Linked DNA regions of Bombyx mori. Each later gene encodes a partner of the first gene's protein in a complex. Links are inferred from orthologs where the notes say so. Each region holds a gene or a part of one and is shown in the gene's direction. Other genes may lie near its edges.

Region 1 (4,094 bases):
TTTTTCAGTTGCTACTTATGTTATTTGGTTTTAATACACGACGTCCTCGGATGTAAATAGGAACTACAATTTGCATTTTAAGGATTTCAAGTTTGATTCTCTTGATAAGATCGTTCTTAGAGCAATATGCAAATGTTGGCGAATAATACATAAGCCGTTTGTGATCACTAAAAGTCGGAAATAATAAAATGAAAACTTTAAACGAGATTTAAAAAAAAAAATTTTAATTAAAGGCCTACGGCTCTCGGAATTGAAGAACATCCGTTGAGAAATCTTTGGAAATTCAAACCTCAAGCCTAAGGAAGAGATATTGAATAGATTCACCTCGAGAGTGTAAAAATGGAATCTTACATTTTAAAGGTATCTTGTCAGTCGCCTTTTTGATAGACGACATCGTTTTCTTAACAGACGCAGGCGAAGCGCGTCCTTTAGTCTGATTAGTCTTCCCTACAATTCGTTGCACTTTAGGCGTAGGTTTGGGGACATCTCGAGGAGCCATCCTTACGTTTTTTGCTCCCAAGTTTTCTATTGTATATGAGAAGTATTTTAGCAAAAAAATCACAAAACAATTCGCAACAGAAAGTTTTCAAATTTAAACACACAAACTTCAAAATATATTTTTTTGGTTGATTCGTTATTATAGGCAAAGATATATTTGACTATACAACCAAATATTTTGTTATGAAAGGCTGGCTGTTGTCAGAAAACTCAAAAGGAGCGATGGGATATATTAAAAGAATTAAAAGAGAATTAAAAGAAGTGAGATAAGGGCAATAACATGAGATAACGTAATAAGAAGAAGAGGAAGGCTGCGTGGATGTTCCACCATGGATCTTCTGAACTACCATAGGAAATAATACAGTACCCGTGGTTCTTTTCTATATTTAGTGCATTACCCGTGTATGCTCATAAGTAATATAATTAAAATGAATATAAGTACTTTTCCCTACCAATGCTGATAGCTTTGAGAGGCTATTTCAGCTTCGCCTTGACGTGGTGAGCTCACAGGGTTCAAACCGGTTCAAACTGTTGCTAACACTGGCCCTAGCAAGAGCAGTGCTTTGCAAAATCTACCACCAAATCAGAAACGCGACCCATTGAGAAGATCCGGCGAGAAACTCAGTGGACTAGTAAGTACTGAGTACTTCGCTTAAAGGTCTTGTTACCAGGCCAGTCATAAAATATTCAAAAAACGCAGTACATAGCAGTACGTATGATAAAGATTACCTTGCATAAATTTTAATAATAAAAGCTAATTTGGCTTAAAAGACTTTGTTTCCAAGCCAGAAAAAATTATTTAAAAAAATGGGGAAATATTATCAAACGTACATACCTATATGTATGTATAGTATACAATGTATACATATGTTCATTATTGTATATACAGAAATAAAATATATAAGCTTTAATGTTTATTCTAAAACTGCATTTATAAGACGGAGTATTAGTAAAGTAGGAAATAGTATAAATAAACATAATTGTTCTCATTCTCATAAGGTCTTATCGACGTCAGTCCTCGCAGCTGAAATGTTGTGTTTCTAAATAGTTATTCTCTTTGGTAAATTAGAATTGCAGACGAACCAATAAACCGCAAATATATTTTATTAAGGAGATTAGCTTTAAACGAATCACTTTTATACCTATTGAACAAAGTACATAATATGGAGGAAGCCAAAGCGGTTAAAGAAAATCCTCTGGACATCGACAGCAGTAGTTTCAGCCCAGACGTCTACTTAGATTGTCTTCTAAAATGCGCTACCCTAAAGCAAGTAATGGACAAAGAAGCGGAAATTGTAACTCAAAGTCAATTTCTACAATCAGAAATGCAGACATTGGTTTATGAAAATTATAATAAATTTATTTCGGCGACCGAAACTGTACGCAAAATGCGTTCCGATTTTAAAATAATGCAAGAAGAAATGAATAAACTTAGCGAGAATATCAATAAAATAACTACATTCAGCTCTCAAATATCTGAAAATCTCCAAGGCAGCGGTAATAATGTTCGACGTTTGTGTGGTACAAGACAGCTGTTAGATAAACTTCAGTTCCTTTTCCTTCTACCTTCTCAACTTAACAAAGCAATAGCAGAAGGCAGATACAGTGATGCTGTACAAGACTATTCACATGCTCAGCGAGTACTCCAAAAATATGGCAATCAGCCTTCATTCCAAAGCATACAGACTGAGTGTTCAGAAATTATATTTGAACTGAAGAAGACACTCCGTGAAAGACTTATCAGTCCTAATACATCTGCAACTGAACTTGCTGAAAGTGTAGCCCTTTTAAGGCAGCTCCAAGAAAGTGATTCATCCTTACAAGATATATTCCTTAGTTGTGCAGAGAGTCGTCTTGACAAACACTTGCAGATGCTCAGTTCTATAGCTGAACATACAGACATTTTGGACTGGGTAGAAAAATGCAATAATACATTGTTGGCTGATTTAGCTATTATAATATCATGTTACAATGAAATGTTCGAACAGGAAGCTATCATACCCGAATTTGCTGATAAAATAATGATTCAAATTTTTCATTTATTCGAAGAGGTCATTAAAAGACCTGAGAACAACGGAACTGAAATGTTAATAAGGGGCCTTGATAAATTCTTCAGAAAACTCCAGGCTATGACCGAAATATCATCAAGTGATATGATGTCCAGTAAAGGCACTGAGGTTGTCATTCAGTGTATAAATCACAAGGCTATGGTACAGTACCAGAGCATACAGACTCAATTTAAAGACAGTCTTATGAAAGTAAGGCAGTCTTTGGCCAGTAAAGGATCAGAAACAATTGACTTAAAAGATATACTGAACTCCCTTCAAGTATATCTGATGCAAAAAATCCAAGCCTCACTCTTAGATCTAATGGCATTCTTACAAAATAATTTATCATTTGGATTAAAACCTTGGTGTGCAAAAGCAGTAGCTGATGCTTGCTCAAAAGTCATAAATGAAACTATGGCTAATCTTTCTGATCTGGTAAAAAAGATGGCTTGCCTTCAGACTTCAAATAACAACATTCCTTTTGAATTGCTACTTATACTAGCTAAGCTATGTTTGGATATGCAAGAGACTGGTGTCTCGACATTACAGAACCATCTTCTCAAACTCTTAGAAGAGGCTGCTCCTGGCCTCACTGTGGATAACAAGGATACTAGTAGTGTCATGGTCCACTTATCTACTGCAGCGCAGACTGCACTAGATTCAGAAGTTGTATTTATTGGCCAGACTGCAGCCCAAATGTTGAGAGTATCTGTATTAGCTAGAGATTGGTTGCGAGCTCCAGAACCAAGGGGGCCAAGAGCAGTATGCAGAAGAGTAGTGGAGACCTTAGCTAGTGCTGATGGTGCTGCATCTCAACTGTTTCCAACTAGTATTAAACCTTCTAGTGACTCCAGTCGGCGTACTATTTGGTCACGTGCTCCTTCTTCTTTTTCACCTCTTAATAGGATATTCTCTGAAAGAATTGAAGTGTTTAGTCCTGCAGGGGCAGACAGAGCTGCACTATCAAATGGTGCCCTAAAAGTAGCTTTGAAAGCATTAGTTGAATGTGTGCGCCTACGCACATTTGGAAGGCATGGCCTACAGCAATTACAAGTTGATGTTCACTTTCTACAGCAAAGGCTTTCATGTATGGGCAATGATGAGAGGCTTCTAAATGCTTTGCTTGAAGATGCTTTAGCATCAGCACAGTTGAGATGCGTTGACCCACAACTAATGGAACCTAGTATTGTAGATATTATTTGTGAAAGAGGTTGAAGGAGAAGAACATGATGCTTGTATTGATAAAACTGGCTTAATTATCATATGATTCAAATTTAGATTAGTCTAGGGACTTAAATACCAATCTTAAATCTATACTATCTATACTAATATTATAAAGAGGAAAGATTTGTTTGTTTGTTTCTTTCGAATAGGCTCCGAAACTACTGGACCGATTTGAAAAATTCTTTTTCCATTAGAAGCCGACATTGTCCCTGATGAACATAGGCTACTTTTTTTTTTTTTTTTTGGTTTCATGTGTGTTTTAATGTTTCCGAAGCGAAGCGAGGGCGGGTCGCTAGTATTAAATAAACAAACAATTATTTATAC
Region 2 (4,027 bases), on another chromosome or scaffold:
CTAAATCAGAACTTTGTATTCCTAAATTTTGTTGTTGTTAACAATCCGGAATAAGAGTCAGCGACAGAATTAATTTAAGTTCACGTATTCAAGCTAACGATAATGATTTTTTTTTTGCTTAGATGGGTGCACGAGTTCACAGTCCACCTGGTGTTAAATGGTTACTGAAGCCCATGGACATCTACAACGTAAATGATGCCACCAGCCTTGAGATATGAGTTCTAAGGTCTCAATATAGTTACAACGGCTGCTCCACCCTTCAAATCAAAACGCGTTACTGCTTCACGGCAGAAATAGGCCGGGTGGTGGTACCTACCCATGCGGACTCACTGGATTGCATAATTATTATTTTTATAATTCAACAATTCTCCTTAAATAATTACAACGTAAAATATTTAGCTTTATAGTTATTACATAAGTCTGGTTCTGATTCTTCTTCTTTTCAGGCGTATGCACTCTTGGGAGAGTGGTCGTGTCGTGGTCATCAGTTCGGGTGCTGGTGCGCTTCACATATTGCTTCGGAGTAAGCATCTTTTTTAGGAAGAAAAATGTGATCAGGGTGTACGTGCAAACAGCTGCCAGAATTTTGTGCTCTATAGGTTTGAATTAGGAAGCATATATTGTACCATAGACAATAACATTCATAATGTACAACAATAACAAAAAAGTTTATAAATACAATAAATGTATGTACAAAATCACTATTTTTTTTCGAAGTTTTGTTTTATACACTGTACTATGATACATTTTATATTTAATTATTAAAATTCGAAGTGTATTAGTTACATACAGCTATATATTGTGCAGCAATACAAGTTCTAGAGTAAAAAAAGTGACAAAACCAAAACTGAACTCTGAAAGAAGGGAGGCAACGAGGTGGTAATAGATTGATAGTGTGGGGCTATTGTGGGGTGAATCTAAGCAGGGTTTGTTGTGAGTTCTCCCGCCCCGAAATAAGTCCTCTGCGGTTGCGCACTGCAGAGCGTTTTGCCACTCTGCGCTGTTTGCATTTTACATGAGCGAGCAAGGGATAGAGAATAAGGCTTCATCGAGCGAGCTTTAAACAGGGTAGGTATCACACTCGATATTCTGTGGGTTGGTCGCCAAGCCGAGGTATTGTACGAGTGTAAGAGAGTGTGCATTTATGGTTAAATTTACAGTTTAAAATTTTAGAAAATCCACAATCACATGGTTCTTTTAAAATTTTTGTTTTATTTTTTGTTGACATGACTTTAGAAGATCCTTTCTACGTCGTTAAAGAGTAAGTGGAGTAAAGTAACTGTTCATTTATATTAATAGATGGCATTGCAGCTAGGGTAAGGTAATTGTTTCCAGTGGGTGGTGCTGAATATTACATGATACTGTGTAGCAAAAAGCAAAGGCTGAAGTTAAGGTTTATATACGAATATTGATTTAATAATGAAAACGAATTTAGTATTGTGCATCTTTTTACTGTTAAAAATAAATGTAACACACTTTAAAATAATTAAGTGTCATTTGTGGACTATAATTAAGTAACATAAAAGTACGAAATCAACTCAATCTAGTCTAGTTTTACTTCTAAGACATCACCTAAAGTAATATCAGCTAGGAGGAGAAAAACTGACAAAGTACAGGTCTTGTTTATTCTTGTTTTTATAGCTATTTTAATAGCAAAATGAATAACTTTGTTTAAGTATGTGATGAGAAAGTTTAAAATTTTCATAGAAGATCCAATATTAATATTCTTATAATATATATACAGTATAATATTTATGAAACTTAAAATTTATTGGATTTAAATAAATTGAATATTTATTAAATTACAATTTTAAATATCGTTACAAAATGTCCTATTGCTATTGCACATCAAAATAGATACTTAGATTTTAATATTTTTTTTATTACATATTTGGGTGAACACACTAATTAACAACTCATTCAACTGTTATATTAAGTAATTGCTTTATTGATCTTCAAGTAGAAAGATCTTATGAGAAATAATAACATTTAACATTATGTATATGGCTATAGGATTATTATAAATAATTGTAGGATTAAATAGTAGGAATAGGAAGAATTAAATAGTAAATGGGCTCATACTTTGAGAACTATCATTTTTTATTGCCTTTGTAAAAAGACCGTATGATCCATCTGATGGTAATTAACCTTCATAAGCTATGTACATGAGCAATTTCAAGGGTACAGCCAAGCTGATGCCTAATTTTGAGGACACTTACATCTCGTTTGAAGAAAGACATGTCATAGCTGTCAGAAAACATGTTAGAGGGAGGTTCATTTCAAACTCAGCTACAGCAGTAAGTTTCTAATGACCAAATTTTGATGTTACTCCCATGACTTGAAGGTTTTTGACATGTTCTCAAGAGCTTTTGCTTCAAATTCGGACGAGGAATGTTAAAAATTCAAATGCTTTGTTGATTGTTGGATCAAATGATTGATTGAATGAAATGATTTGGTGAAATGTGATTAATTTTTACTGGTGGTAAGCGTCTTGTGAGTCCGCAGGGGTAGGTACCACTGGTAGGTGATTCTGTTTGAAGGGTGGAGCAGCCTTTGTACTTTAAAATTAAGACATTAGAACTCATATCGCAAGGTGGGTGGTGACATTTACATTCTATAAGCCTGTGGGCTCCAGTAACTATTTAACTCCAAATGGGACATGAGCTAGTCCACCCAAGTAATAAATAATAAAATAAATAAACAAATGTAGTACTTAAGAACGAAATTAACTTTTCTTTTAGACACACAATACTCAAGGAGTTTTTCAAAATATTTGTGAAACCCTATATATTTTGTATATGACATCAGCTTTGACTTACTATATTAACTTTTGGTACTTTTCTGACACAGTGAGGTGTTCAAAGCACTGAATAAGACTCGTGGTTTGTACCTACGCTGGCAGGAGATTTGTAAGACTCCAATAATTGCAAGTAGTCCAGAAGTAGAATGGACTTCGACTGAATTGAAAAATGCACTGCGCAGCATTGAATGGGATTTGGAAGATTTAGAAGATACAATAAATATCCTTTAAAATTATTTTATATTTTGTAAAATAGTGATGATGTATGTGTTTGTTGTAGATGCTTTTTAAATTGATAAACTTATCAGTTAAATGTTAACAAAAACATTCCATTAGATTTATTTGTGCTATCTCAAATTCCAACATTACTAATTTTCATGGTCCTTAATGTTTTGTTATTTCGGGTTATTTAATATATTATTTACAAATTCCTTACCTTCACACTAGCTTCTTAAAATTTTATTTTATAATTCTTTAGTTTGTCACATGAGTCCACTTGCTGTTTATTAGTCATGACAACAATTCATAGATACCATATCACATTATGGTGGCAATCTGCCATCACCTGCTTGGTGACATGAAGTAGAGATTTCAGTTGTATTATACAATGACTGTCTTTCCCATCAAGCAGAAATGCATGAAAGCTTTACAAACACAAGTAAGCAGTTCCCATTATAAATATGCAGCGTTCATATTAGAAGTATTTTACTCTGAGAAAACTTACACATCATCTTATCATTATTAGAATTCATTAATAAAATATCAATACAAGAGTACTTTTCTGTTAGGACATTCACATAATTTTGTATTAGTTACATGAATATTATGTTTATACCTTATTATATGGTCTATTATTCTAGATGAGCAATGAAAAGTGACAAGTTGCAATGTAATGAGATTTATTTAGACCCCAAAAAAATTGGAAAACTGAAAATATAGCGGTCATAGGATAGGATAGGTCATTCACATTTGAACTAACAGGCATACATGCTAATGATCTGTTTCGTGATCTTGCCCAAATTACACAGAATTCACCTAATATTAAATTGATATCATCAAATAGCATCGCTTAAGTTCTTGGGTTTAAAGGGTCATTGATTTGTATGTATGCATACAATAATAACTGTGATAAATCTAGCATCTTGTCATAAGACAATTTCGTCCGGTGGTGGGTTCGTCAAAAACTAATTTAGGAATAGAATAGAGAACAGTAACCTAGATCTTCTC

The links. The genes of interacting proteins can lie anywhere in the genome.
Region 2: the proteins of vacuolar protein sorting-associated protein 51 homolog (region 1) and Syx6 are in contact, whole or in part, in a crystal structure (PDB 4J2C), measured with the Homo sapiens proteins. The link is inferred for Bombyx mori from reciprocal best matches to the Homo sapiens genes VPS51 and STX6. Residues at the interface, in NP_037397.2 of Homo sapiens: Ala33, His34, Met36, Leu37, Leu39, Tyr40, Tyr41, Gly42, Leu43; in NP_005810.1 of Homo sapiens: Met3, Glu4, Asp5, Pro6, Phe7, Val9, Val10, Glu13, Trp59, Asp60, Asp63, Leu64, Glu66, Thr67, Ile70, Val71, Phe78, Arg88.

The regions. Positions count from the first base shown.
Region 1 is NC_085115.1:1,408,555-1,412,648, reverse strand, and holds vacuolar protein sorting-associated protein 51 homolog, read left to right. Parts: upstream 1-1,291; 5' UTR 1,292-1,661; coding exon 1,662-3,761; 3' UTR 3,762-4,093; downstream 4,094-4,094. Other genes in the region: uncharacterized protein LOC101737848, read right to left, coding at 325-499. UniProt on the Homo sapiens protein: Acts as a component of the GARP complex that is involved in retrograde transport from early and late endosomes to the trans-Golgi network (TGN).
Region 2 is NC_085107.1:6,217,337-6,221,363, reverse strand, and holds the start of Syx6 (syntaxin 6), read left to right. Parts: upstream 1-1,226; coding exon 1,227-1,261; intron 1,262-2,850; coding exon 2,851-3,021; intron 3,022-4,027. UniProt on the Homo sapiens protein: SNARE promoting movement of transport vesicles to target membranes. Targets endosomes to the trans-Golgi network, and may therefore function in retrograde trafficking.